Tamandua tetradactyla: one gene and its partners. The protein of the gene in region 1 interacts with the protein of each later gene in a pairwise test. Links are inferred from orthologs where the notes say so. Each region holds a gene or a part of one and is shown on either strand. Other genes may lie near its edges. The genes, in order: BEND7, LYAR, NKAPD1 and L3MBTL2.

Region 1 (7,766 bases):
CCAGGTGGATGTCACTAGTCAGATGTGGCTCCTGAGCACTTGAAATGTAGCTAGTCTGAACTGATTTGTCCTCCAAGTGTAAGATATATACCGCTTTCAAAACCTTGTACAAAAAAACTCAAGAATAGAAAGTATTGCTAATATTTTTATATTAACTACATATCAAAACTATAATAACTTCTGTGTACTAGGTTAAATAAAATTCATTAAAATGAATTATTTTTCCTTTTTCTATTATCACTAGTAGAAAACTTTAAATTACATATATGACTTACCGTGCATTTCTTTTGAACAGCAGAGTGGTAAATAAAGATGGAAATTTTCATAATACCATTTCTTTCAGTACAGAGCTTCCAGAAAGAGAGTTTTAAGATTTAGGGTCCAGACTACTTAGTTTTCTAGCCAAATTACTTGTCTTTGTCAAAAATTAAAACCTGCGTTTAATCTTTAATCTATTTGTAATTGATTAAGTTTTAGAATGGTCATATAATAAGATGCTCTGCCTTCATGAACTCATGGAATATCTGAACAGTTTTCACTGAGCTTGAGTAATGTATAGACCTGTGATTCTAAAACTTTTGAGGGCTTTGGATTATTGAGGCAAAAAAATGACCTAAGTGGATCTCCGACAGGACCTTCCGAGATAGCCCATAACACAAAAGCTGTATTAAAAAAAAACCTTACCTACCACTTCATGCAATCTCATATTTATTAAATATCATAATTCATCTTTACTTCATACAATTTGTGTATATATACATTGATGTTATATAAAGTGATGTTTGTGTGATTTGCACAAAGTAGAGAGTAAATAAATCGCTGTTGATTTTCTCTCTGTAAATAGGACAATCCCTGAACGACTGGGCTCTGCAGACCATCTTTGGAGAACCAGATAAAAGGGTCCAGGGAAAATGACTATTGTTTCAAAATATCATTTTTTACAAATATTTTATTACCTTTATCCAAACTAGTCTGTTCATTACATGGAATTCATCTTCCCACTTGAACTGAATATGTTAAGTTGTTAATATCTTCTCCAGGGATTTGTTTCCTGGTATGACACCTTCAATGATTTCATCATGGATTTAGGCTAATAAACTCTCATTTTATGTTCAAAAGCATGAAAGTCCTCACTGTTCCTCAATCAGTATAGTACTTGGCCCTGTGGCTTTGAGGATAACTTTTTTTTTTACAGTTTGTATTGTGAAATATAACATCTATACAAAGGAAAGAAAGAAAAAGCAATAATTTTCAAAGTACACTATTACAAGTAGTCACTTGTTAAATTAGATTTCATAGGTTACCATTCCACTATTTCAAGTCTTTCCCTTTAACTGCTCCAAAATAATGGAGGCCAAAAGAAACATCAAAACAATGATTTAGCAGTCATACTCATTTACCAAATCCTATTCCCTCTGTTATAACTCCTCTCTCTCCCCCACCTCCCTCCTAATCTACAGGGATCCTTGGACAATGCCCGTTCCGACTTTCCCACGTTGAGAAGGGGTGTCCACACTAAAGGATAGGGGAATGTAACTGGTTGATAATCTTAGAAAGGCTGGTCCCTCTGGGCCTCAGGACTGATCTGGCCCAGGAACCCCCGGGAAATTATAGGTAACAGGAAAGGAAACTTAGTTCATGAAACTTTTATTGAGCCCCAGTCCGAGCCTTAGGTGCTCTCAAGATTAAGATTCAAGACACAATAAACAGGTGGGCCATGGTGGTTCAGCAGGTAAGAATGCTTGCCTGCCAAGCCCGAGGACCCGGGTTCGATTCCTGGTGCCTGCCCATGTAAAGAAAAAAAGAAAAAAAAAAAAAAAGACACAATAAACCTCTCTGCCTTTGGTCTTACATAGCAGGTAAAGGTCTAGAGTATATACACTATCATCTATTACCCTGTATTCTGATTCACCTTAGTCCTGGCTATAAGCCTTTGTCTTTATCTCTAATGGAAGGTTGATCTCTTTTTTGCTTACTTTAACTGTTATTGTATGTAGCTGTGCTAACATTCAGGGCTGCAGAACTCCATTTCTGAGTCTTACGTTTCACAGAGTTACTCAAAGTTCCAGGGAAATATCAGTTTCATATGGCTCAATGTCTCAGAATCTAGAAATACACTCACAATTTCAGACTAGGTGTGGTTCCTATAAGGTCTTACAATCTAGGCTCCAAATTTCTTATAAGTATTTTCTGAAAGAGACCATAGCATATTTGTTCTTTTGTTTCTGGCTTATTTTGCACAACACATTGTCCCCAAGGTTTATTCAGTTCATTGCATGCCTTACGACATCATTCCTTTTTTGTAGCCGCATCATATTCCATCACATGTATGTATCAGTTTGCCATTCTGCTTCTCAGTCATCGTACCCTTTGGCTTCCTCCATCTATTAGGCATCATGGATAATGTCCAAAATAAGCAAACCACATCTTACGGTATCCTGACTTGGTTATACAATCAACAGCACTCTCAATTTTAGAGTTTTCTTTGGTCCATAGAGATAACTGACAAACACAGCCTCAACCAAATATCAAATCAAAACTACCCGTTATCGCTTATCCTTTCCTCCCTCTAATTAGTTGCCCCTGGTAGTGCTGTGGTACAGCTGATGTCTTCCTGTTAACTATTGGCCATAGCATGCAATTTTAGTTTTCCCCCATATCCCTCTATTATTGACTCTGTACAATATCAAACCTTTGAAATAGTTCATCTGAGAACTTATTTATAATTGTAGAGTTCATCAGTGGGATGCACGGCACTATACATCCCTTTCACTCATATTCACCTTCAATATGGCAATGTTACTTATAATTCCACTAATTAGTTACCATCACTTCCATGCATTCTTTGAGGATAACATTTTTAAAGGCATGGCAGAAAGGAAAGAAAGGATCCCAGCCAGGGGAACAGAACAGTATGCATTTTCCCTTAAAGAAACATTCAAAACACAGTCAGATTTTCATTACTTGGTTTTAAAGCAAGAGAAAACAAATGGGAGAGAACCAAAAAGGATAGTTGATTTCATCACTTTAATCCTTTCTCCACCTTTTAGGGCTCCCAGGGGTCTAAACTCAAAAAAACCTACACAAAATTTCCTTGGTCTTCTATACATGTTCTGGGGAAAGGGCCCACAGCTTTGAATATCAACTCCACAGACAGTGATCAAAAAGGCTAAGAACCTCATTTAAGGGTTTGCTTTGGCAACTGACAGCCTATTCCCTCTCTTCCAGGCCAGGTACACCAGCCTCCGCACCAACTAATACCTCATGATTTGGGCCCCAGCCTCCTTCCACTGGTTTATTGGTTGGTTACCTTGATCCTCGGTTTTGTTTCTTGGTGCTTGTATGTTTGTGCTAGCCTCCAACTTTTCCTTTCCTTGGCAGTTGTCTCTTATTAACCCAGTGGTTAATAAGAGAGGTCCTTGAGCAGTGGTCTCATTTTGGTGGGATTCATCATGGAACTTACCACATTTATCAACATACCCTGTCCCTTTAGGGCCACGGGAATTTGCCACAAATTCAAATTTGTTGTTAGGTGGCCTACCTCTTTACTTCCTTTATATTTTCATCCAGAAGTGGTCTTTGGTGGGGGGGGAGAGTTACTTGTGAGCATGTTCGGATAGCATTGCCGGGGGTGTGAAATTCTCTCTCATTCCCTCTCTAAAGATGTTGTGAGAAAGAAATGGAGCCTGCAGGGGCTCTTAGCTCCCAAGAGAAGTTCATATAAAATTAATGAAAGGTTTCTATTTACGCCAATCGCCTGGAGGTCCTCAAACCTAGTGGCAGATCTCCTGCACCTGCCCTGACCCTTCCTCACCTCCTCCTCCCTCTACGGCCGGCAGGGCAAGTTCCCTCCCCGCATCCAGCCCCGTGGCTTCCACACCCCTTCTTGTACCGGATACAGAATCGGAGCCCACTCCCGCCTATCCGCTTCTCCTCAATACGTTCCAAACGCTCTTTTAGTTTTCTTGCACAGCGCACATTGGGAAGTTTTTCCTAAAACTTGCCCAGCAACGTGTGCGGGGCCCGCTCCATTCCAGAAGGGTTCTCGGCCCTGGGGGCGTCGTGACCACCAGGCCGGCCCGGGGGCGGTGGACTGCAGAGCTGACCCAGGCCCGGGGCCCGCGTTCAGGGGCGGTCCGCACAGGCCGCCGTCCCCGGGGAGCGCCGCGGCCTCCGCCTCCGCCTCGGCGGCCAGGCCGGCGGGTGCGGGCCCGGGCCCGGCGGTCGAGAGGGCGGCCGCCAGCAGGTGGCCCCGGGGACCGCGGCACCGCCTCCCGCCGCGCCCCTCCTCCCGGGGCCCGCACCCGCCGCCGCCCTCCTCCCCTCGGCCCGCCGCTCGGCCGCCCGCCGCGTCCCCTCAGCGCCGCCTCCCCGGCCGCCGCGTCCCCGGGGCCGCCTCCCCTCCCTCCCCCGGCCGCCGCCGCCGCCGCCGCCGCGTCAGTCCGGAGGCTGCGCCCAGCGAGCGCCCTGAGCCGCCGGCGCCCTCCGCCCGCCCCAGCGCGGCCGCCGCGGAAAGTTCCGCTTCGGATCCGCTTTGAAAAAGGAGAAATTGGACGGGGCCGGGCGTGCTCGGGAGCCGGGGGCGGCGAGGAGGAGGACGGCGCCTCTCCCCAGGCAGCTGCCTCCCGCCGCGACGAGGGCCGACGCCGCTCGGGCCGGCCGCGCGCCTTTCCTCTCCCCGCGGACCCGCGCCGCCCGCCGGCACCATGGAGTTCTCCGAGAGGAGGAGAAGCAGGAAATCGCAGAGCTTCAAACTGGGGAGCCGAGGTGAGGGGGCCGCGCCGGGGTCGGGACCCGGCTGGGGTGAAGCGTTTCGGGAGGGTCCGGACCGGGGTCCGGGATCTGGGGACCCGGGGCGACGCGGACAACCCTGGGCCCCGGGCTCCCTCGGAGGCCTCACCCCGCGGACCCCCAAACTCCCTCCCGGGCTGCGGCTGGGGGCGGGGGCCGCGGGCAAAGTTGGCGGGTGGGGTGCAGGTATGCGAACCGTAAACAGGCCCGAGGGCAGCGCCGGGGGCAGACAAAGCCTGGGCCGGGGACCCCGCGGTGCCCTCGGGGTGCGGTCGTCCTCCCGGAGGCGACGGGAAAGGTACTGGAGGCAGCGGAAGCAGCACAGCCCGACTACGAATTGTGGCCATCCTACATCTTTCCCAGCTCTGTGACTTGGATTGGAAAGGTGTTCTCGAACAGATCACTTACCGGTCAGACAAGTATCGTAAAAAAAATAATAATAAAATAAATAAATAAGATCCATCTAGTCCCTGGCGACTTAACAGGTGTACACCGCAGCCTTTGGGCTTGAGCTCTTTTATTAGAGGAGGGCGAAGTGGAATAGAGCCTTGTCTCTGTCTGTTCACCTACTTGTTAGAGTGTTTATTTTCTTGATGGGACTTTTTAAAAAAATGATGAGGACGAAGCGTAAGAACAGGCTTAAAAATATATCCGTGGAAATGCCTCGTCTCTTCTTCGGCGAGACGCAGTTGACTTTTTTCATTGTAGTGTCCACAGGTTCCAGTATGTTCAGAACCATCCTATTTCAGTGTCTTCTTTGCATCAGCTTGAGGTCAAAACAAAGCCTCAGACGTGTCTACTTTCCCTCTGGTGTCTTATCTAGCAATGGCATCCGAGTACAGAGCAAACCAAACCTGTGTTAGCAACCTCGGAAGGGGGGAAAATTAGAGGACTGTTGCAAGTCATAGAGTTTCTCAAACTAAGCTAACAGTAGTAGAGATTCCACGAAGCCTGCTTTCACTTTGTTTAGAAATGGTTTGATGATAGACATTTCAAAGATCTACTCATGTTTGTTTTCCCTCAATTTTGTTCCGATACTGCATAATGAAAAGGCCTAACATGGTTTTACCTATTGAAAATATTTGGCTCTTTCCTCTTTCTGTGTAATTTTTTTCCCCCAGCAGTGTGGAATACTCAGTGACTTGAACTTTAAAAGTCTCTCCATACACCACTAGCCTCTTGGAGTGATCTGATTCATTCAGGCATGTGGGCTGCTTTATTTGTGACCTCAGATATTGCCTTATCTTAAAGGTGACAGTAGTTCTGTAGAAATTGGCCTGGGAGGATTAAGGCCAAAAAAAAAAAAGGAAATAGCTGTTAAGGCGGCACCTATATTCTCATAGCTAAATGACCCTATTTTTTAGAAATAGAAGACTGCCAAAGCTCAGGAGCCTCTGCAGAGAGGCTTGTAAAATATGTATTTTGAAGTTTGACAGAGCTAGTTTTTCTTTTCTTTCTTTTTTTAACTTATGGGCCTGATTCTTTGCTCTGCAGGTACATTTTTAGAAAATAAACATATTAAAGTGCAGAAGCTGAATGGGAAAGATTCACTTGTGTGAAAGATGAAAATCTTGCTTTCTTATCCAAATTATGCTAGATTTGAAATAACAAATCCGTACTTGTCACGTGTACTTGCCTTTAAGCTGCTTAAAGACTGCGATTTTTCAGATAAACTGAGAAAACAGTGTCAGGCAACCCTGAAGCAATACTGTTGCTACACCTAAAAGATGGGTTGTGGAGATAAGTTTGGAAACCTCCTGGGCCAATGAATGGGCAAGATTTTTCTTTTCTTTATAAACATATTTCTCAAACGAAAGAAAAGAAGTCTAGTAATTAACATTTGTGGGCAAATTTTACTGTGTAAACAGTGATCAAGCAAAGCTGTTTTCTAAAAGTAATGTTTCAACTTTGTGTACTTTCATCAGAATAGGCAAAGTTTTTTAGAGATTGTTATTGACTTTTGTCAACTTCCGTGGTTAACTAGTTCTTGAAAATTATATAAATTAAAACAGAGATTATGATAGTCTAGATATGATGAGAGTCTAGCCTTTAGTGCTTATTTAATATCTTGCAAGTCATTAGAATTCTAATTTTTGGTTGTTTTCTCATCCCAGATTATCACCATGAGGTGTATAAGATCTCAGAATTCAGCAGCGATGTTAATGGGGAGGCCAAAGAGACACAACCCATTTTTTTAGGTAGGTTTTCATGTCAGTTAATTTCACAGCAAAGCAGTGTGGCCATTTGCAATTAGAGGGGGAAAAAAAGATTGTGCTGGAACGGGAAATGTCTGCTATTGCTGAATGTATGACATTCTTTTCAAGACCTTTTATTTTACAGATTGCCAATATATCCCTTATTAACATTGCTAAAAGTTGTAATTTCAGACATAAATGTTTATTAGTGTCTACACACAGTGCTAATTATCACTCACTCTCAGAGCCAGATGCTGAGTGTGCAGTTTCATGGCTCTGCGCTCACCCCATTTACATTGCATATTCGCTGGCATGCTTCACTGGCAATAGTTTGTGTAATTGGGGTATTACATCTTTGACATCTGGATAACAGAAATTCAATTTCCAGGAAGCTGCTATTTGTTTGGTTTTGCTTCTGCCTTGGGTGGGTTAGAGGATTAATGTTCTGTCTTATTATAATGTCCCTTCACCTCTGTGGCCTGCTTGCTAATCCTGCCATGACAAAATTAAATTAAATCTACAGTCAGAGAGCATAGGGAAAATAAAAGTGTGATTGCCGGCTTAACCACCTCTTGATGGTCCTAGGTATCACCAAGTAGCTCTACCTCATTCTTCTGGCTTTGTGTTCATTTCACATCAACTTTTTGGACTGAGAAAACAGACATGCTTTTTCCTACCTTCCTCATTCCCAGTTCACCTCAGGGAAAAAGCAGAGCAAAATCAGCATCTGAGTCCTTTGAACAAGTGTAGCTGCATGATGAATAGGTAGGTGGCCAGAAA
Region 2 (7,620 bases), on another chromosome or scaffold:
GGACAGAAAGCCATTATGTGGGCAGAGAAAGTCTCATCATTCAACATGTTTAATGACTTCCTACTGTGTGGCAAGTTCTAGGGCTCCAAGAATAATAAAATATGCAAAGGCCCCACCCTCATGAAGCTTTTTAAGTTCTAATGAGGAGAACAAAAAAATATATATACACACACAGTTAAACAAAACCGTTTCAGCTAGACACTGGAATACACAGGTGAGTAAGGCATGGTCTCTGAAACCCAGGAGCTTAGGCTAGTAGGGATGATTTATGGCAGAAGAATGGCAGGGAGGAATGAAGTCAGGCTCATTTAACCTCTCTGTGGAGGTTAAAATGGCAGTTTGCTACCCTAAAAACCTAAAAAGCCATCATCCGCTTTCTCTGCTTTCACTCTGAGTGCCTAAGCATTACCGAAAAAGCATCACTGAAAAAATCCATGAAGCCAAATTCCAAGCGTTTTAACATGGCTCATACTTCTCTCCCAGTCTTTTCTTTATTACTTCCATTTTGAAACCAGCCAAAATGAACTACCTTTGGCTTTCCAAAAGGCTATGTTCTTGGCCAGTGGGCTGAAACCCTAGCTACACCACTCATTAGCCATATGACTTTGGGCAAAAGACTTCCTCATCCTATCTCACAGGTTAATGGAGGTAATTGTGCTAACCCATGTCATCCTCTAGAACAGCATCTGGCATACAAGTATTCAGTAAAGGTTAGCTGAAAGAATCACCTGGGAAATTTGTTAAAAAGTAGTTTCTTGCATGCCATTACAGTTTTGTTCAGCCACTGTACACTGGAGCCTGGATATCTGCATTATAAGCAGCCAGGTCATTCTGAAGCAGGTGGACTGCTGACCTCTGCCTTGCTCTCTTCCAAAAGCCTTCACTTCTGATGCTTTCTATGCTGGAAATAATTTATTCAGATCTGACCCTTCCACCTTCCAAATAATGCTCACTCCACATCAATACTCAGCTGAGCAGCTGTCTAGTTTCTCGATGTTCTTGATATGCTCCCTCTTCTCCACTCTCCATTCCCAGGTCTGACTGGGGACCCTCCCCTGTACTCTAACAACACCCCAAACTACTTCAGTAAGAGAACTTATTATAGTGTTCAGTTACTTACATTTCCAAAACCTGTGAACTCTTTGAGGGTACCATCTCATCTGTCTTTGCTGGCACAGAACAGGTAATAAATGTTCACAGAAGGAATTTAGACAATGCCTAAATTTGAAATTTTACCTTTGACCACCACTTCCAAATCTCTGACTCTCTACTAAACACCTTCAACTGTATGATCCCCTCAGGTTAGAATCTCCAAAACTCACCCCACCATCTCATTCCTTAATTCTATACCTGGAGAAGATAATGTTGCCCAAACAAGAATATATACAGGGGAACACATTATTAGGTGGTGGGGTAATGGGCTAAGCATAGAATCCTCAAAGGAACTGAACAACCAAATGATTAAGTAACCAGTTCCCTTCCCCTATCACATTGGTTGCCTGAAAAGAAAAGGCTTTTTGGTTAACTGTTATTATTAGTAGTTGTCATTTACTGACTACTTTTAATAGGCCAGGCACTCTGCTAAACAATATTATATCTGTTTACAAAAAATTCTGCAAGAACCTGATAATCACCATTTTATAGATGAGGAAATTGAGAAACGGGGAGTTTGATAACTTGCTCATGATCATATAAGAACTTGCTCATGATAATATAACTGGTAAGTGACAGAGCCAGGATATGAATTCTGGCTCTTTAATTCTCGAGTCCATGTTATGCTCCCTCCCACAGGAAAAAAGTTTTTAAATGACCTTTGTCCATAGACTTAAATGATAAAATACAGTAAATATTCTGGATCTGTATTAGACATTTTCTTGTTCTATAGAAGTGATAAAGAAAAAAAATTCCTTGGATGGCTCTCAGAGTTATGATGACACAAGTTCTGTGTTCCAAAATTTACTTTTACTATAAATTATAACCATTCTATACTAATTTGTATAGTTCTCTAATTGTTTCATAATGGCAATCCTGTACCACCCCAGAAAGATGAGAAAAACTCTGGAAAAGAGAATTTTGTATCTGTATGTATCCTGTAAATAAAAACCATAAACAATAATGCACCCTGTACCAAGTAACAGTAATAATAATGACAAATATTTATAAAATAATGACAAAAATTTTATTTAAAAATTTATAAAATAATGACAAGTATTTATAAAATATTTATAAAATGACATTTTATAAATATTATGATTATATTAAATACACTTTATAAATATTATGATTATTATATTAAATTCTTATAATAATTATAAGACCGGTACTATTATTATTCTAATTTTACAGATGAGGACAGTGAGACACTTGACAGATTAAAGACGGCCACAAATTTTTTGACACTCTTCCCACAAGGAGGTGTGGTTGAATTTCCCCTTGAATCTGAGCAAGCTCTGACTTTCTTACCAACAGAACACAGAAAAAGTAAGACTGTGCTCATTTCTGGTTCCAAGCTTAAAGCTAACAGCTTCTACTCCCCATCTCTTGGAACGCTCCTTCTGGGAGTTAAGCCTAGTTAAGCCCAATCTTCCAGTCGTACCTTTAAAGGCACCAGGGATGTGAGTGAAGCCATCCTAAGTCCTCTAGACCAGCCCTGTCTCCAGCTGAATACCATGAGTGACACCAGTCCACACCTCACAAAGCTCAAGAATTGCCCAGCTGAGCCCTGCCGGAATTCCTGACCCACAAAATTGTGAGATAAAATTGTTCTAAATTGCACACAACCTGACCAGGTACTGAAAGGCTAGGGAACTTTCCCAGGGTCATACAGCTAATAAGGGGCCGAGTTGAGGTGGAGCCCAGGCAATCTGACACCAAGGCCCACACTCCCAACCACTACGCGGAATTACATGATTTGCTTCTTTGGTTTACTGTCTACTGAAACATTTAACCTGATCAGATAATATGAGAGACAAGTACAGCAGTGCCTGTGAGATGTGAAATGCAGTAAGTAGAACCACTGAAATAAAAATTAACGTGGGGGAGGGAGGGTAGAAGTCAGTTTCCTCCAGGGAAAACTTTCTGGAAGAGAGCTTTATGTGGAAATCTGAAAGTTAAAAAGTTTGCCAAAGAGGGAAGAGAGGAATATTATAAGCAAGAGGCAAAGGTAGCAGGAAGGTCAGGAATATCTGTTTTCAAGTGGTGACACTTGAGTTTTGAGTTTTCAGGGGGATCCAATGAAAAAAATGTAGGAGCAAGAACAAGGTAAACATCGCCTATGGCAGTCCGGCACCCGGGTTCAACTTCAAAAACAACGAGGAAGAACAAGGTAAACATGTGCCTTGAACACAAAAGCACACCTCAAGCACCTGCTTTTCAACCTCTGCCATTCTCCCACTTCTGCTGGGAATTATTTCCCTCCTTGTAAATCCCAGTGAGTCCTTCTATTCCAGGCCCAACACCTCTCACTTCTACAGTGAAATCTTGCTGATCCCGGTATGCCCTCACCCTAAAGTGAATGTTTTTCAGGATGCTGTCTCACACCTCCACTCAACTACCCTATTCAACATTCATTCATACAATAGTCACTTAGTAGCCACCCACGATATGCCAGATCCTGCCCTGAGCTCTGAGAACGTCAACTATCCTTTACTGAGCACTTACTAAGAGTCAAGCATGTGCTGAGAACTTCCTGTGCATGGGTTTATGAACACCCCTAAGGTACCGGTATTCCCCCTTCTACAGATCTGAAACAGAGCACAGAGAGCCTGCACAGTAATGAGAGACTGCGCAACACTATGAACTCTGTTGTTGTAAGCACTACTCCCAACTACAGTAAGAGAAGGAAACAGGGATCCAGAAATGGGTAGCCGGAGGGCGGGAGCGGGTCAGATGGGCTTCCTGCAGGCGACGGCTGAGCGGTCTGGAGGAATGAGCAGGAGGAGGCCGGGTAAAGACCTAGTGTGGGGTTTCAGGCCAAGGGGGCTGCACGAGGGAGAAGGCCCGGTTCCCCGGACTAGGTTCTGTCTTTTGCGTCTCCTTCAACTTTCCCTCCGTCTGGCACAGGGCAGTCACTCGTGAACTCACGCAGGAGGCGGACAGCTCTCCACTCACCCTCGCAGTGCCCCGGGAGAAGGGGGTGGGGGCAGGGCAGAGCCCCGCCGGGATTCAGGGGCCACCCTCGGATGCCCGGCCTCCCCTCCTTGACGGTTCCCTCTCCCACCCGACCGCGCGCCCTCTAGGAGGCCGGCCTCCAGGCCCTATGACCACCTTACCCCGGAGGCCGCTCCCTGACCCGCCGCAGCCTCTCCACCTGCCGACACCACCACCTTAACGCCGGCTTGGCCGGCAGCAGAACCACCCGACAACGCCCCCTTGACCTGCCGGAACCGCCCTCCGACTTCCGGTAGCGTCACTTCCGCAGGGATTTTGGCCGTGGTGCGCAGGCGCGCGGGCCGGCTCCAGCGCGATTTCTGCGCGGGGAAGCCCTGGAGGGCGGTGACGGCTGCGCGCGGCGGGCGGCAGCGATTGCACGTGTTCTCCGTGGCCGGTTGAAATCGTTGGCGGGTGGCTGCTGAGAGGTGAGGGGCGGTGACACACAGGCCCGACGGAGGAAGTAGAGGAGCAGTGAGTGAAGAAGGGTCGGGCGGTGTGGCTGATGGCTGCATTCCCTCTTTTGGCTTCCACCCTGGGAAGGAGAAGGAAATTCATTCACATCTTATTCGGACTGGGGAAAAGTGGAAGGAGACCTGGACCTAGGGCGACCTATTCAGTCCCCGTTTTAAAACTGAAAGTCCTGCGTCCCGGGAACCCCCTCAGTCCTGGGCATCCCAGGGCAGCTGGATCCCGCTTAAGGCGGGCTTCGGGCTTGCTGCATGTTGGGGGCGGTGCTCTTCGGAGTCTCGGGGAGCTCGGTCCCCAAGGAGGAGGCCTCAGGCATTGTGGTTAGAGCACGAGCTTAGGACCGGATTCATTTTGTGTGTGTGTGACCAAATTACTTTACCTTCCTCATGTGCCAAAAGGGAACGGTACAGAACCTAACGCACTGGACCGTGGTGAGGGTTAAATGGGCACAGACACGTTAACCACCTGTGAGGGTGACAGGCATATAAGAGTCAGGCATTTTTCTGCGGCGCCTACCCCTGAGGAATGAGATGGGGTGTGCCGTTGCAAGCCTGTCTTCCCCACCTGTATAGCACAGTGCCGGGCACATGACAGACTTCCCCAGACGGTTATGAATAACATGACAGTAACATGTAATAACATAATATGAGATGACGGGATGCCAGTAATGCAGGTGATATAATGAGGAGGATGCTGGAACTTGGAGGTGGAGACACATGGCTTAATTACTTTGTTTCTCAGTTTGCCCGTCTGTTATGTGGAGATAAATGTCCTTTGCATGGTTCAAGGGGGAAGTCCTGTGTGAGTGCACGTTGTGACCGACCTCACCTGCACACGCTAGGGTTTAGGCAGGGTGGTAACAGTGTGTACTTGTCTGACCTTCCCATGAGTCACATGCTCTAGGTGTCGTGGAATTTTACCCTTGGAAGAGGCTTGGGGCTGGCGTAATTGATTTGAGCCCTTTTCTCACTGATGGGAGAACTCAAGATCAGAGTTGATGGTGACTGGGAACTGCTTGGCTGACAGGACCAAGTGTCCTGTTTAGGGGTGCTGATCTAGTTTGGGTCTGTGTGTGTGTGACTGTTTTAAAAATAATGTTTTTTAAAAATTATTTTCATTAAAAAATTAAGCAATACAAAAATGAGGAAGGAGAAAAATTAAAAAAAAAAAAATCAATGTGAATCCCAATCACCAGAACCAAACCAATGTCATATTCACAGGGAACAGTCTGGTAGGTGCCTGTGGAGTCAGGAGCCAGAGGAGACAGGAATAAGACTGCCTCTGGAGTGAATTTTTAAAGTTGGATAGGTTGATTGAGGGTCCTATTTAAAGGAGCATGGGTTTGGGAGGTGACTGGGTACAATAGTGTTGATGTGCAAATTGATAAATAAATCACAGAGAAACATTTCTATTGTTGGATAAGGATGAAGCTTTCACATCTGATATTTTACTTAACTCTCCACATAGTGCTCTAAAATAGATATTAGACCCATTTTACAGATAAAAGAATCAGATTTGGGGAAGTTAAGGTTGCTGAAGGTCATTGGGGTTTTAATTGGCAGATGCAGGCTCCAGCTCAGATTCCCTGGCCCCAAATGTGGCCTCCATCTTGGTGAGAGGGGATAAAAGTGCCTACAGTCCTTCCTGAGTTCCCAGCCTCTTGCTAGCTGCTGCCCCTCAACTAGTTCAGCATCGCTATCCAATACCCTACATCCTTAGCTGTGACACGGATGGTCGGCCTCCTTTCCCAGGGTGGTTGTCTTTAGAATTAAGATTTAGGGTCCTCAAAATTTTTAGTGGAGGGTCATCTTCTAGAGCCCTTGATTTTTTTTGGATGAGCAACTGAAGGTTCCCAAGCCGAGTGACAGCCAAGCACATGGCCAAGGATATGACAAGTCATTATGGACAGGCAGTTGCAACATAGTGAGCCGTTTTGTAAGTGATGGACTATAGTTAATAGTACAGTTATAGAAAGGCATTTTCATGAATTGTAACATGTATCACACGAATGCTAGGTGTTAACAATAGGGCGCTATATGGAAACTATTTTATGCAGTAGTTCTGTGAACTTATAACTTCTCTAATAAAAAAGAAAAAAAAAATGAAGAAGCAGGGGCTTGGGGTTGTATCCTGGCATTACAGGCCACCTCTGCTACTTTCTCTGACTTCAGGTAACGAAACTTTCTGAGCCTTGGTTTTCTCTCACTGGTGGTAGTTGTGTGATCATACCTGTCTTGGATGTGGTGGGTGTAATTGTGGTTGTAAATGTGAAACACTCTGAGCACATCTCTTTTCAGCCCCACCTCATTTCCTTCTCAGTTGTGGGAGCTCAGGAAATCAAATAGTCTAATGAATAGTCATCCAGAAGGGTGTACAGAGGACCTGGTCTAATCTGAGTGGGGGCATTTGGGTGTATCTGGATGCCTGGTACCCAAGCATAGCACCTGATGCACACTGAGCACATAGTAAATGATTGCTGAATTAAGTTATAGGGATGAAAACCACATGGGCTGCCAGCTGGTTCAAGAATGTTCTCTGCCTGTCATTCTCTCTTAATATGTGCACATTTCTGAAAGGGAGGGTACACAGAATTTCTGTGGCTTTATTAGGATTGGCACGTATGACAACGAGTTGGGGAGCTGGAAGGGAAAGGGATGGGACTCTCATTTGAGTCCAGCCCCATTGGAAAAACTGTCTTTCTACAATTAGCACTAAAAGTTGAGATATGTAATGACCGAGACTGGGAATACAATACAGCGTGTCTCAAAAGTCATAAGACAGTTTTGACTTCAAAGGTATAAATGCTACAGGTTTCCCCGAAGCAGCATTTATAAGTTTAATTATTTAAGTATCTTCACATTTATTTAGTCTTGTGGATTTGAATGATTTTTTTTTTTAGGCACTGTTTGCTATCATCTTTAGTTAGAAGGATTGAACATTCAAAAATTTTTTTTTAACTTTATAGCATTTATACTTCTATTATTAAGCCTGCACTAAAAC
Region 3 (7,081 bases), on another chromosome or scaffold:
ACTTTCAACTCAATTTTCAGAGGCTTTTCATTCTGATCCTTCACAATTTTTAATTCATAGGTTGGAATCTTCATCTCTTTCTGGATCTCAGTGCTGGAAATCTCCTGTATCAGACACCCTGTTTTGTCTGAAACTTGGTCCTTTGTCAGTAAAAGTTGAGGAAAGTGATCTGGATTGCTCATAGTACTATTACCTATCTGTTCAAGACCTATTTCTTTGTGGGGAAAAAAAAAAAGAGAAAATCACAAAATTAGTCAATAGCATAAGCAATATCAGACTGTGGTATATGTAAGGTTAGCCAAGATAGCAGATAAAGATGAAGCTAAATTAGTTTTGGATCTTAAGCCAAAAAAAATCTTAAACCAAGAAGTTTGTTTAAAAGTTTGCAGGAAGATCCAAAATATTTTAGGATATTCTGATATTTCAAATATCTAAATCTTTATATTTTTCTATCTTGAGTTTCTTATCCTTTAAAATCAAGACTCTTCTTACTTGCAAAGGTACACAGGATGCAAAAATATCTTAAACAGTTTACTTTTGCATTTACATTCAACTTACCCTTCCTCATTTTCTGTCTTAAATCTGGAAAGTCAGTTTGTATTCCCATCAGATTTTGTTTCATCCTTTGAATGCTTCCTTTTATTCTAAACTTAGTAATATGGTAGATGTGGGAGAGAGTGATTTGGAGTCGTTCCTCAATGCATTTCATAGCCATTTGTATCAGCTGGTCCCTTTTCTTCTGGTCCTTTTCTGCTGCCTGGAGAACATCAGGATTGTAGGCAACATCGATGACTGTGAAAACATCTGTGTGTTTAATTTGGAGGGTGTGAAATGAAGACAACTTGACCTGTTTTCATTAATGATATTATCAGGTAATATATTAAATCATAATCTTGATAAAACTAGAAAGTAAATTCCATTCCTGTATTTTTTCAAAGGCAATCACAATGGTTCTATATACATTATATTCCAATTAGGGCATCTCTTGGCATTTTTACATGGGTTAAAAACTTGTCATATTGCTAGAAAAACTTAACAAAAAGGCATTCAATTTGCATAAAGGTATACTAATATGTCATAAACTACATTATCACCAAATAAAATATTTTAACTTGAAGTGTCTTTTATCAAAATCTGGCCCATTGTTTTGCCAAAAAGATTTTTCAAATGTGCTTCCTCTCCCATAATTCTGCCTACCTGATGTCTCAGACATATCTTCTGGCCTGCCGATACTTAAAGGTACTGGATGAGTGTTTGATTGGGGAGCTGGAATTCTTTTCCACTGGCATAGGTTGATAAAAAGTATTTTTTCTCTTGGTTTCTAGAAAGCAAATAATTTTGCATATTTCAAAATGTAGTTTGTTATTTTAAAATAATATCCTAAAGGCAGCTCATCACAGAATTGTAAGAGGTAGAATTTTAGTCTCCAGGTTAGTCATTTCACATGTTAATTGCTTTGTTTGTTTATAAATAACAAACACACAAATGTTCTTGACGTGGTTACAATCAGTGGCTCACAATATCATCACATAGTTATGTATTCATCACCATGATCATCTTTTTTTTTTTTAAACATGGGCAGACACCGGGAATTGAACCTGGGTCCTCTGGCATGGCAATGATCATCTTTTTGAACATCTGCATCTCTCCAACAAGAGAAAAAAGAAAAAAGTCATGCATGCCATACCCCTTACCCCTCCCTCTCATTGACTGCTAGTATTTCAATCTACTCAATTTATTTTAACTTTTGTTCCCCTATTATTTATTTCTTATCCATATTTTTTGCTCATCTGTCCATACTGTAGATAAAATGAGTATCAGACACAAGATGTTAAAACTGTTTTTTTTTAATTAAAAAAAATTTTTTTAAACATAACATACAAACACAAACATTCCCATTTTTGGTATATAATCAATAACTCACAATATCACATAGTTGTATATTCATCACCATGATTTCTTAGAACATTTGCATCAATTCAGAAAAAGAAATAAAAAACTCATACATACCTCTTACTCCTCCCTCTCATTGAGTGCTAGTACTTCCATCTACCCAATATATTTTAGCCTTTGTTTCCCCTATTTTTTTCTATACTCCTTACCATTCCCTTTCATTGATCACTAGTATTTCAATCTACTCAATTTAACATTTGTTCCCCCTATTATTTATTTTTAATCCACATGGTTAAAGTTTTTTGATAAATTACACTCTTGCTTTCTTGATTTCCCAAAAGCTGCTGTCTTTTCACTAAGAATCCAGTAACTGAACCCAGAAAGGAACTCGGGTGGAGATGTGGTGAGGGAGGAGGGAATTGATCTAATCTAATAATTGTAGATTATTTCACTTGACCCTATCACATCACTTCTTAACTGCACCAACTAAACAGTTATCTTTATTTGAAAAAGCTCCAATTCCATGATTCTCCTTTAAATTATTACATTACTTTCTCTTTTCATTCTAGACCTCATTTGACATCTCCAAAATATAACAAGTATGAATACCACTCTTACTTCTCAACACAATCTTCCACACTACTTTTCATTTTCTAGAATGGCAGTTTCTCTTCAATTTTCTTGTGTTTATGTGGCAATAGCTAAGGGTATGCTATCCTCTGGTTATTCCAGAATCATTTTGTTCAGCACTTTCCCAGCCATGACACCAACTCTACACACCAGGATCTTCGTCTGTAGACACAGCTGTGGTTCTGGGGCAGCACAGAACTGTTTCCCCTCTTTCAGCTGCCATTTAATGAACTTGTCATAGCGCTCAGGGTCACTTTCAGCCAGATCATCTAGAAGGTTCCAGAATTGAGTAATTTGGGTAAACAGACCCTTTGAGGATGCGTCCATGATTAATGATGGTGAACAGGTCTCTTAAACCTGTGGAAAGACACGAGTTAAGGGGGAAAAAATCTGCGTGGGTAAGTCATTTCTACTTTGGGGGGAGGGAGGACAGGTATCAGCTACCTTAACATCTGTGTCTCAAAGATTGTGGCTTAGCGCTGCTATCTTTTCCTTATTTCCTATTCAGCACCCCTTCCTAATTCTCAAGTCATCAAAGATAAGGCCTTACCCCTATTTGGAATCTCACAAGCCTAGAGATGGGAGAGGAGACACTTTCAGTTTGGGTTTCTGGCTCTCTTCCTGTTCCAACACCTGTGTATCCTTAATTGCCGGCTCCCCAGTCCTGGAGTTGGCAGAGGTGCGTGTGGGGTGAGGTCCATTGGAAACTTCGGTATAGCTTAGTAGATAAAAGCATGGAATCTGGAGCCAGAAGGTTAAGCTTCTAATCTTAGCTCTATCACTAGATGGATGACCTTGAGCAGTTACACACACACACACATTATATATATATATATTATATATATAATATATATTATATATATAATATATATATTATATATATAATATATATTATATATATAATATATATATATAATATATATATAATATATATTATATATATATTAATATATATATATATTATTATATAAAATATATATATATATTTTGTTAATAATATATATTAGGTGATTCTCAAAATGAAGACGATAATAAAATGCCTATCTCAAGGAGTTACTTGCAGGATTGAGTAAACTAATATATATATATAGATTTACACTTGGTAAACGCTAAATGAAAGTAAAAATACCCTTTCTAGATCTTGGAATATCACGTCCCCCACTCCTACCCTATTTCCTTCCCTCCGCGTCCACTGGAGAGGAGTCCCATACCACCGACTGAGGCTTCGAATACTGTATGAGATAAGGCTAAATAGGAAACTTAACTTTGGGCAATCATTCCAGAGGCCGGTGAATCCACTTCCCTCGGATCCTTGACACACAGCGCGGCGCCTGTTACCAGGGTAACCAGGCTGGGCGCAACGCTTAATTGGGTCCGGGAAGCACCAGTCAGAAAGTTCTCCTTACTTCCAGTTCCGGAATCTCACTCTTCCGGTCGTGGGTTCACTTTTCTGCCGGGTCTGACCCACTTCTCTTCCAGAAAAGCGCCAGCCTCCCACTTGCATCCATCGACCTCTGGAGTATCCTGTAAATTCTATCTGTGACACACTCTGTGCCAACCATTGGTGGGAAGAATTTCTCAGGAGCACGACTTCCGGCCTGAAAGGGAAGCCTCCTCCTTTTTCTCCCAGATCGCTTCCTCCCCCCACCCCCGCCACGCGAGGCTGCGGCGCACGGTATGGGTGTGTTTGTGTGTATTTGTGTGGGGAGGGCGTTTGGAGGGGAGGTTACCGGGAGCTCCGAGGCCGTTGGCCGCTGGGTGGCGGGGATACCGGTGATAAAGATGGGGGTATTTTCTCTGTCTTCCTCTTGGAGACCTCAACCTCCCCGTCAGGCCCTCTAGATACTTCCCGGGGCCCAGCCGAAAAGTCATACTTATCCAGAACGTCCCCGTCCTTATCTGGGGAGCAAAACTCAGTCCCCGGGTCCATCCCAGCGGAGCCTGAGCGGGGAAAGCCGACCGGGCCGTCCAGATTCCGCTCCAGCGCAAGCTCCGGCCTCGCTTCGGGAGAACTGCCTGTCGGTCTGGGCTGGGGGAAAGGCAGCCATGCCTGGGCCACGGGTGAGGGCATAATAACCGGTGGGAAGGCTGCGTTTTCACGAAGGACTCGGGTGAAGCTGCAGAGCTGCCTTTGAGCCCTGACTCCTTGGCTTCCTGGGTCGGAGGAGATCTTGTAATGGAGTGGTTCTTCGTCTCACACTAACAAGATGCCTGATTTCCTCAGGATCGAGGGGTGAGTGAGCTATGGGGTGGTTGCACAAAGCCCCTGCTAGCTAACACGTTAATATCTTTGTCCTCTAGAAGTTGGAAGCTTTTGCACAAAATAGGAAATAAAATTTCTCTGAAGGAAGAAATTTAGGGTATCTCTGCATCTGATGTTTCCAAGAGTCAGTTTTTATATTTGTTGACACTTGTAGTCACTGACACTTTTAAATTTAGATATTTGCTTCATTGCAAATTAATTTTGGGAATCAAGAATTTTCTAATTTGGATCTTTATATATACGTTGCTTGCCTGAGACTCTCTGGCCGACAAGTTAGGGCTTTCAGGAAAGTTGATCTGTAAAATAGGGATGAAGATAACTTGCCTCATATAAAACACATAGTTATTGTGAGGATGAATGAAATGGTGCTCATGTCATCTTGAGCAATTTCAAAGAACTTTAAGGAACACTATCTCCTTTCATCCTCACACTAGTGTTGTCAGGCATTTTTCCCTTTTATTTGTGAAGGAAAACTCTTCCTCAGGGCATCTGACTCATAGTTCAGTGATTTTACCTTACCTCATGCTTCTTTATTTAATTGTAATAAAAAATAAGGTAATAGAAATCGTTATTAAATGTTATTTATTGATTCATTTCAGATTGAAGAATGTCCCGGGTTCCTTTGGGGAAGGTCCTCCTGAGGAATGTCATCCGGCACACAGATGCTCACAATAAGGTGGGAGGGACAACCCAGCCATTCCTTAACACTTACTGAAGGCATACAATGTGCCAAGCAGTATTTTGGCACAATTGGGGAGTACAAAGATGAATTAGATAATTACAGTACATTTTGATATATACTATAATAGAGTCATATGCAAAGTGCTTTAGGGTACTGAGGAAGGAGTGATGAATAATGAAATCTGCTTTTAGGAATTAGAAAGGATTTCACAGAAGGGGTAGTTTTTGAGTTGTTGAAAAGTGAACTAGGTCTTGGTAAATGGGTACAAGTTTTACCAGGTAAAGGATCCTCCTGGACAGAGGGAACTATTATGTGCCCGAATGAAATTGAATGTGTCTAACCTGTAGAAAATTACAGAGATGAGGTCTGAGTGGTCAGTTAGATTTTGAAGAATCAGATTTTGAAGAAACTTCTGTGTGATGCTTGGGAAATTTTAGGTGTTTTCCTCTAGGCAATAAAGAAGCATCAGATGTTTTAAGCAGGGCATGACATAATCATATTTGTATTTTTGAAAGGTGATTTGTCAGCTGGGTAGGGATAGATCAGATGGGTAGAAACAGTAGTGAGACAAATTAGGAGTCAGTTGCAGTTCCAGGTGAGAGATGATGAGGGCTCAAAAGAAAGCTGTGACAGTGGGTTGAAGAAGAGGAATTTAGGAAATAAAATCCAAAGAACCTGGTGACTGATTGGATAATAGTAAAAAGAATGGCCAGCTTGTGTATCTAGGTGGATAATGATGCTATTTTTTGTTTGTTTGTTTGCTGTATGGTGAGGGTCACATTTCATTTTTTTTCCACACAAATATCCCATTATTACAGCACCATTTATTGAATTTTTCTGAGGGGGGGTGAGGAGTGCACTGCCCGGGAAATGAACCTGGGTTTCCCACATGGCAGGCAAAAATTCTACCTCTAAACTACCCTTGTAACCCCACTATTTTTTTAATGCAATTTTTTGAGATATATTATATATTCACATGCCATATAATCGTCCAAAGTGTACAATCAGTGGCTCACCGTTTCGTCGTACAGCTGTACCTTCATTACAGTGGATTTTTGGACATTTTCATTACTCCAAAAAAAGTAAAAATAAGAATAAAAATAAAAGTAAAAAAGAACGCCCAAGGCATCCCATCTCCCCAATCCCTTATTATTTATTTATGTTTTGTCTCTATTTTCTTACTCATTGATGATGCTATTGATTAAGATAGGGAACAGAAGAAAAGGGACAGGTATGAAGTGGGTAGTTAGTTTGACTTTGAACATGTTGATTGTGAGGTGCTTATAGAAGATCCAAAAATAGTTGGAAATTCAGATTTGGCAGAAAGGAGAAAACTTGGAGCTGAACATAAAGGATAGGAAATTATTGATGTAGGTAAATGTTAGAAGTCATGAGAGTAGATAAGGTCACCTACGGAAAGCTTGTATACTGAAAAGAGAACCAAGGATCCTTGTTTGATTTCAGTGAATTGTATTACTCTTGGTTTGATCATAAATGTTATTACTATTATATTACCTGATAATTTGAGTAGTGTGAGGATATAACTGTTACCCAAGCAGCATCTCCAATTGTGCTAATCTGTCGCTACTTATAGGGTAAGCTTACATTTCAAA
Region 4 (7,831 bases), about 15 Mb from region 1:
GGTTGGTGGGGTGGCGCTGTGCAATAGCTCTAGCCATGTCCCTGGATAAGCAGGATGGGACAGGGTCTAACACAGTGGTGCTCAGAGTGGGGTTTGCAGGCTGGTGTGCATCTGTGGACTCCTAAAGGGCTAAGAGGAGACAAGCAAAAAAAATTGAAAATAAACAGCAACTTTTATAGTGAAAAAAAAAAAACTTTATAAATTCTGCATAGGCCCAAAAAAATACTCAGGCAATCTGAATTCAGCCCAAGAACCTCTGGTTTGCAACCATTCTTTACGCAGTATTTCGTAGGAAATTGAGGCTGGGGCAAACCACAGAAATTAGTATCACCAACAAGTAATATTCCTTCATCTTTGTGTCTGAGTGCGCAGCTAATTTAAGCATGTCTGCCCTTGTATTTCTCCTAATCAACAACAAGGGTGACAATCTTTGGCAATGTATTCAAATCATCACTTATCCATCGGGGTAAACTGAAGAAGGTTAAATTAATTTCTACTCATTCTTCACAACTCAGCTCAGGTGGTGGCTTCTCCAGGCATCTCCTGAACCTTTGCCCTAACACCCAGGTGCACTGCAGTGCCAGCACACATTTCTTTCTGTTACAACCCATCTAACTCTTACAGGACATCTATCAGGTAGGTTTCACTACCATCCCCAACCTACATAAGAATAAGTACCCTGTCAGAGATGATGGTTAGGAGAGAGGAAGGTGAGGACATATAATCAATCACCTTCTTGACACTACTTATCTCCTGCGCTAGATAGGGAGTTCCTTGAGGATTAGTGTCTTGCATTTTTCATTTTTTGTATCCACAGTAATCCTCAGCACTCTGGAACAAATGGAAGGTAAGGAGGGAGGAAGGAAGGGGCACTCCCCATAAAAAAGTACTATGGAAAGGGGATACTGACAGCACATGTAGTTATTCAACAAACATTCTAGGCATGAGACCTGCTGAGGTCTAGAGGAAAAAATCAGGATTAGAGGGCTCAGTTTGGTGAGGGTACCAGATATGTACATTAAAAATAACAGCATTGTCACTTGGCTTTATTTGGAAAAGTCAGGGAAAGCTTACTGGTAGAGCAGATGCTCCAGCTGAATCTTGAAGAAAGAGAGTAAGTGTCCCCTAGCAGACAACAGGAAGGAGAGCCTAGGCAGAGGGACAGCATGTGCAAAGGCACTGAGATGACAGAGCCTTTATCAGAGCACCTGCAGCCAGCTCCCAATCACTCCAATTCAAGCTACACACTGGGCACATCAGGAGAGGCTAGAGGGGTAGACAGCCTCTGAGCATCTAAAGGGTAAGCGATGGGGAGCCAAGAAGGGTTTTGTTTGTTAAACAGTTTTATTGAAGTGAATTTATATAGCATAAAATGTATCTGATTTATGTGCACAATTTGTGATTTTTAGTAAATTTAGAGTTGTATAAGCAACACCACATCCAGATTTAGATTTCCATCATCTGAAAAAGTTCCCTCATGCCTATCTGCATTCAATGTTTGCACCTCCAGCTCCAGGCAACCACTCATCTGCTTTTTGTCTCTATAAATTTGCCTTTTCCACTAAATGGTTTTAAACACCACCACCCCCACCACCCCCAAAAAAATCATCGTTAAAAAAAATATCACTTTGAGTTGCGGAGATTGGTTGGAGGGGGTTAAGAGGGAAGGCTACCTCTGTCACCATTTCCTGATTCAGGATATAAAAGCATCTGAGGGGGCGGGCCACATTGGCTCAGCAGGCAGAGTTCTCACCTGCCATGCCAGAGACCCGAGTTCAATTGTCAGTGCCTGCCCATGAAAAAAAAAAAAGTGAAAAAAGCATCTGAGGACTTTTATAACAAATCTACAAACCAGTTTCCCACTAACCCTGCTGGACTTCCCCCAGATTTTTTAAAAGTTACACCTAATTGATCCAAGTTTCAGATGAGTGATTAGTCTAGTGAATCAGAGTTGTGGGCGTCTGTCATGGGAAACCAGTGGTGTTTTCAGATTTAATTGTAATCATCAGAAGAAAATGCCCTTGAAACTCAATCTGCTGCCTAAGGTCCACATTTTTGTTTTGTACTGCTGTTTTTGAGATGTCAGGATTTTATTAAAGGAATTGCTGTTTTTCTCACAGCACAACATTATATTCAGGGACGGAGGCTCTACTTGCTCCATATGAGGAATGTGCTAGTTAAAAAAAAAAAAATGCCTGTTAGCTGATTTCGAGGTGATCAGCTCAAATGAGCAAAAGGCATTGGGAGGGGGGGTTTGTTGTGAGGATTAAATAAAATATTCAAACGTGCCTGGTACAAGGTGAAGTTCATTAAATATTTGTTGACCCTGAACCCGGATCACACTGTGAAAAGCTAAGTTTTTGTCTGCCCCTTCAGAACTGGTTTACTTCATGCTTAGAGACTTGTTTCCTACCTTCTAAAAAGTGTAAGAACGGCTCAGGGCTTTTAAGATAGTTGTGAGGATAAATGAGGTTACAGAATAAGTGAAAACACTTAGCCGGGCACCTGGCACATATCACAGACCTCTGGGAAAGGTTAACCAAAAAAATAGCACCTTTGTCAGCGCTGATGGCAACTGTCACCTGTGGAGAACCTCTCTGCACACATTAACAAATACACTCCTCAAAAGTGGGCATTTGATAAGTACCTGCCGTTTGATAGGTAAATGATATCACCAAATTAACTGCCATTATTCTATAAGTAAACAATTTTGGTTCTCTTAACTGCTACTTCAAAATCCCTACTTACATTTCTCATGTTCCTTCCAATAATTTGCTAGGAGGTACACCTGTCAACAGGAAGGACAGAAAATGATCAATTATCACCAAATGCCCTCAAAATAATTGGCTAGAGAATTATTCAACCTGGTTGAACTTTTCAGAATTCAGTCAAACCCACCCAATTACTTTCCAGTTTTCACTTTGCCTCAAGTGCTCTTCATACTTGGGGCAGCCCAAACCAGCCCAATAAAATAAATTAAAACTGCTGTTCACCACCACCTTGGTCGCTGGGATATGGTAGTTGGTGGTTGGGAAGGGGCAAGAAACTCCAACAACAGTAATGTCTTAAATTTAGTAGGTTCGTGCTCAGATAATGAAAGCACAACATGTTAAGAGTTTGGGAGAGAGAACTGTATTCTCATCCATGGTAACTTGGTATGGGGAAACCCATTTGACTTAATCAATAGGAAATCTCTGTCATTACTCCCTTATCTAAACTTCTCTAAGACAATTTCTTCATCTGTAAAATGGGGCTAATAAAAACGCTTACTGGGCGAGTTGTGAGAATTACATATGACGTGATTGAAAGTGCTTTAAAAATTGCAAAGCACTACTTACATATTAGTTATCAGTTTTCCTAGGTCCAGCCATTTTTACAGAGCCAAGCATGGCTCTAAAGATCTTCCCGAGGTTTTACAGCTAATTAGGGCACAGCTCACTCAGTGGTCTCCACCCATCAAAACCCTACCCAATTTTCAAAGCGTGGTCCAAGCATTCCTTTTCCTTAGCCTAGGGCAGTGGGTCAGGAGTGAAAGGTCCCAAGTTCGTACCCCAGCTCTGCCTCTTAATTACACACTCCCAGGGCAGATGCTTGTCCCGGGTGCCTCGCCTAGCCACCTGGGGAAGGAAGGGGAGGTGCCCGCACCTGGCCAGCTGAGGTGCTTAATAATGGCAGTTACCTCCTGTCAGCCCCCGTTGTCACTCCCTCTTCTCTTTTCTCACCGCACTGTGGTTGCAATCAAGACCAGCAGTTTTCGAGGGCTCGCTCTGTGTCAGGCACAGTGCGAATTGCTCTGGCCAAGCACAGCCCCCTTACCTCAGTATAACTAAGACAAAGGAGGGGCTCGCCGCCCCTCCCCCCTCTCTGGGGGGCAACCCCACGGCGGGAGTCCTAACCCTGACAGCCCCCACTCCAGTGGTTCTCCAGAATCTCGGGGCGGCCCCTACGCCCCCCAGCGCCTCCCGTATACTGCCATCACTGACCGCCCCAAACTGGACCCCGGCTGTCCAGCAGTCCCGGCGAGCCCGCGCCTCATTCCTCCCCGGTCCGGCCGGGAGCGCATGGGCAGCCGGCTGCAGCCTCCCAGGCTGAGGGCGCCGAGCAGCCTCGCGCCGAAGGCGGGCACGGGGGCGGGGCGGGGCCGCCGGCGGTTGGCGCTCGGAATCCGAGCGCGCCCGCCGGGCCACGTGACCGCCGGCACCGCCCCCTTGCCCAGGCCGGGAGTTGGGCGGGTGTGGGGGAGGGGCGAGAGGCATCCCAGACGCGCGGGGCGGCGGAGAGCCGGTTGGCAGCCCCGTTGTGCAGATGAGGCGACCTGACTCCTGTGTCGAGTCACCGGTGCACGGGAGGCGGGCCGGGCGCCAAGGCGGTTAGTGCCCAGCCTAGCCCGCGGTCGGGGCTTGGAAGCGTTGGTCTTTCTCTCTGAGGATGGTTTGGGAACGGAAGCTCCGTGAAGGCTGGAACCGTGGGGTCCTCCTGTTCACTTTTGTAGCCACAGCGTCCAGCAGCAGTGGCCGTGCAGTAAATATTTCAATGAAGAACTCTTACCCTGGCCCTTTCTAAATATCTGGCCTCAACTTGGGTCACACCACTCCCCAAAGACTGTAATAATTGTTGGAAGACCACACAGAAGCGGATAATGTGGAAGCGAGCACCCATCTGCAAATCATAGGTGCAATCTTTTTTTTTTAAAGACTTGTGTAGAGAATTAATGGGCTCGGATAATAGGCGAGAGCAGCTAGGAGGCTTCCGTGCTATCCAGAGGAGAGAAGATGTGGACTGGATTTAAGTTGTGGCAGTGGAGATAGAAAAAAGTGGAAATATTTGGGGTAGATTTTGGAGAATTAAATGGATTTGCTGATGACTTTGAACAGTGAGGGCCTGCAAAGGAGAGAGACAGGAGGAAAGCCAAGAGGGACTCAAGAAAAGCCAGTGTTTCGGAAAGGATAAAGTAGGTAGTTGTGTGAAATGCAAAAGAGGGAAGTGGTCATTGAATTTCAGGTCAGAGAGGCAGTAAGTGAACTTGACAAAAGCAATTTTGGTGGAGTGTAGGGACAGATGGAAAGCCAAGAGAAGAAATAGAAATTGCATGTGTAGACAAACCTTCAAAAGGTTGGGCAGTGGTGGAGTGGAGAAATGGCATATGGCAGGGGACAAAGGCAGTGAATCCAAGAGATGTATTTGTGTAGTATGGGTGACTAGAGCACATTTGTGTCGTTTTGGGAAATGATCCAGTAGAGAGCAAGAGATTTATGATCCTAGAGAGAGAGAGGGACAATGACTCACATGAGGTCCATGTATAGAAAGATGGCTCAGACTAGCCAAAATGCTACCTATGCTACAGAAAGAGACCCAGGCCCAGGAGCTCTGCCACAGAAGGAACAGCCACACTGTTCCGGGGTGGCCAGTGTTGCTTAGCAACCTGTGTTTAATAGGCTGTTTCAACTGAATTCCTAATTAACGGCCATTTCCATTCATGCTAGCTGTTACTGTCACCAGGGCTCCCTCTCTGCCCTTTTTCCCTCCCCCGTAGTCTGGTGTTTCCGACTCCTGCTGAAATGCTGTGAAACTGGAAAGTTCAGGTTTCTATTTTCTTATACTGTTGGTGATATGTACATTGAGATGTGAAAAATAATAAATCACAGAGAAGATGGATTTAGGGACTCTAATTTCATCTTAAGAGAGGATGCCAGAAGTTGCAGGATTTAGATCACCAGTTCTGTGCTTTCCACCTAACTCCAACTGCCTTCATGTCCTCTTCTTCACTGTCTCACAAGCATCTCAAAGTAAGTGGAACTCTTAGTTCATTCCATTCAACTACCCAAAGTCATCCATCCCTGTCCAGTTTTCACCGTTACAGAATATGGTGCTGCCATCCACCCGGTTGTCCAGGCCTCAATCCTCACATATTCTGCCCCACCCCCACTTCCAAACCCACTACATACATTTAATTATTACCTCCTATATATTTTTTTTTTTTTTTGCTAAAGGGCTTTTTAAATGTTTTCTCTCTGTTTTAACAATATCATGAAAAAAATACAGTTAAGAATCTGGAACTGACCACTGTCTGGATGGGTTTCAAGGGCAGCTGGGTGGGGTTGCCAAGCCCCTTCCAATTCCTCCCCACCTTGGGAGTGAGCTGCTGGAAATTGGAGCACCAAGAGGGCACCTGAACCGGGAACTAAGTGTCTCTTAGAGTCGGGATCTGGCAAAAACTGGGAGGTTAGAGCAGCTACCTCACCAGCCAGCGGGAATCCTCCTTGTTTTACTAAGTTCTGTCTGCCACCACCCACCACCCACCCCATCAGCTACATGGAGACAGGAGGAAGGGGCTCAGCCTGTCAGAAACTGTCAGGCAACCCTGGTGCTCCCACCCAAGCTTCTACTCGATTCCCTCAGGTAAGGCTACAGGATGCTGAGTTAAATTTGAACTTCAGATTAGACAATAATTTTCTAGTATAAGCATGTCCTATGCAAATATCTGGCACATACTTATACTAAAAAATTATTACCTGACATTCCAAACAATTCAGCACCCTGTTTTGTTTTCTTTTTGCCTTGTTGTGTTGTGAAATCTGGCAACTCTACCCTTGTCCCAGATTTGGGGAGGGGTCCAGCCAGCAAAGAGGCCTGGGAGCATTCAGCATGGCGGGCTGGGGTGGGCAGGGAGGGGGAGTAGGAGGATGGGTAGGAAACAATCCAGTCAAAAAGGAGCTCCCCCTGTTCCCGGGAATGATATATTATTATTATTTTAATCATTTCCAGAACATTCTCTACACTGGCTGTCTTCAGTTAACTGGTATGGGGTGGGGGAGGGGAGGGGCAACATGCACAGACATCCACACCACATAGCTCTAAATAAAGTCTGGAAGCACTAAACCAAGTGGAGCCGGATTCCCTGCCACAAGGCCTGCCCTGCTAACATCCGCTGTGAATTTTCCAGAGGGGCAGACTTAGTACAAGGTTTTCTAAAGAAACTTGATCTTCCTGCTGGTGGCAGACGTATTAACAGCGCTCCTGATATTGCTCTCTAAGGGTTTAAAAATAATAAGGAACAAAACACACCCACGGGGCTGAGCCAGTGCCCAGCCCCGTCGCCAGCATCACTCTGGAAGGGCTCATTCTTCCAAATTCAAGAAGTGGGGTGGAGGCGTCTCCTACTGCATGCCCTGTTCTCAGCCCCTGGGAGGGGCTGCGTTTACTGTGTACAGTCGTGGAGAGCCACCTGGTCCCACTTCCCTCCAAGTGGCTCCAGACTTCGGGGCAGGAGCCCCAGGGTCCAGGAAGGAGGGGCTGGGACACCAGCCCACCTCCCTCTTTCACGACATGTATTTTATTTTGTGGCTGCCGCCAGGCACTGCAGAGATGCCAGGAAGATGAGGATTGCTGAGAGCCTTTAGTCCTGCGTGGAGGCCACCTCAGGGCTGATCGGCTCTTGCTGCACCTGGCAGGGGTGCAGGTTGACAACCGGCACCCTTTGGAGGGCAGCGGGGTACCTCCAAAATATTTTTTAACATTCTTCTGCTTTTCTGCATGCCCTCTCTGTCTCTGCCCTAGACCAAGCTACCACCATCCTTCACCTGGAATGCACGAGAGCTTCTAACAGGTCCGGCTACTTCTTTTGATCCTCCTCCAATCCATTCTCCACACTAAAACATACATCAAATCAATGAACTCCCCTGCTTACAACCTTCAAATGTTTCACATCACAGTCTCAGGCTAGCTGGAGCTGTTCTCAGTCTTACTCCCTAAATCCCGTATCTCTATCTGATTCATCCTCCCAACCCTCTTCTCCCCGCTGGCTCCTCCTCATCCTGCAAGTCCTGGTTTG

What was found.
Region 2: the proteins of BEND7 (region 1) and LYAR interact in binary tests that used the Homo sapiens proteins (3 or more experiments, as listed by UniProt). The two-hybrid records come from large-scale screens. The link is inferred for Tamandua tetradactyla from reciprocal best matches to the Homo sapiens genes BEND7 and LYAR.
Region 3: the proteins of BEND7 (region 1) and NKAPD1 interact in binary tests that used the Homo sapiens proteins (3 or more experiments, as listed by UniProt). The two-hybrid records come from large-scale screens. The link is inferred for Tamandua tetradactyla from reciprocal best matches to the Homo sapiens genes BEND7 and NKAPD1.
Region 4: the proteins of BEND7 (region 1) and L3MBTL2 interact in binary tests that used the Homo sapiens proteins (3 or more experiments, as listed by UniProt). The two-hybrid records come from large-scale screens. The link is inferred for Tamandua tetradactyla from reciprocal best matches to the Homo sapiens genes BEND7 and L3MBTL2.

The regions. Positions count from the first base shown.
Region 1 is NC_135333.1:49,223,701-49,231,466, forward strand, and holds the start of BEND7 (BEN domain-containing protein 7), read left to right. Parts: upstream 1-4,639; 5' UTR 4,640-4,706; coding exon 4,707-4,767; intron 4,768-6,905; coding exon 6,906-6,989; intron 6,990-7,766.
Region 2 is NC_135345.1:8,749,084-8,756,703, forward strand, and holds the start of LYAR (cell growth-regulating nucleolar protein), read left to right. Parts: upstream 1-4,446; 5' UTR 4,447-4,623; intron 4,624-4,629; exon of another isoform or gene 4,630-6,555; intron 6,556-7,620. UniProt on the Homo sapiens protein: Plays a role in the maintenance of the appropriate processing of 47S/45S pre-rRNA to 32S/30S pre-rRNAs and their subsequent processing to produce 18S and 28S rRNAs. Also acts at the level of transcription regulation.
Region 3 is NC_135334.1:29,178,847-29,185,927, reverse strand, and holds the start of NKAPD1 (uncharacterized protein NKAPD1), read left to right. Parts: upstream 1-3,933; 5' UTR 3,934-4,198; intron 4,199-4,204; exon of another isoform or gene 4,205-4,756; intron 4,757-5,385; 5' UTR 5,386-5,393; coding exon 5,394-5,462; intron 5,463-7,081. Other genes in the region: PIH1D2 (PIH1 domain-containing protein 2), read right to left, coding at 1-214, 559-804, 1,198-1,321, 2,674-2,850.
Region 4 is NC_135333.1:34,374,991-34,382,821, forward strand, and holds the start of L3MBTL2 (lethal(3)malignant brain tumor-like protein 2), read left to right. Parts: upstream 1-4,692; 5' UTR 4,693-5,750; coding exon 5,751-5,786; intron 5,787-7,831. UniProt on the Homo sapiens protein: Putative Polycomb group (PcG) protein. PcG proteins maintain the transcriptionally repressive state of genes, probably via a modification of chromatin, rendering it heritably changed in its expressibility.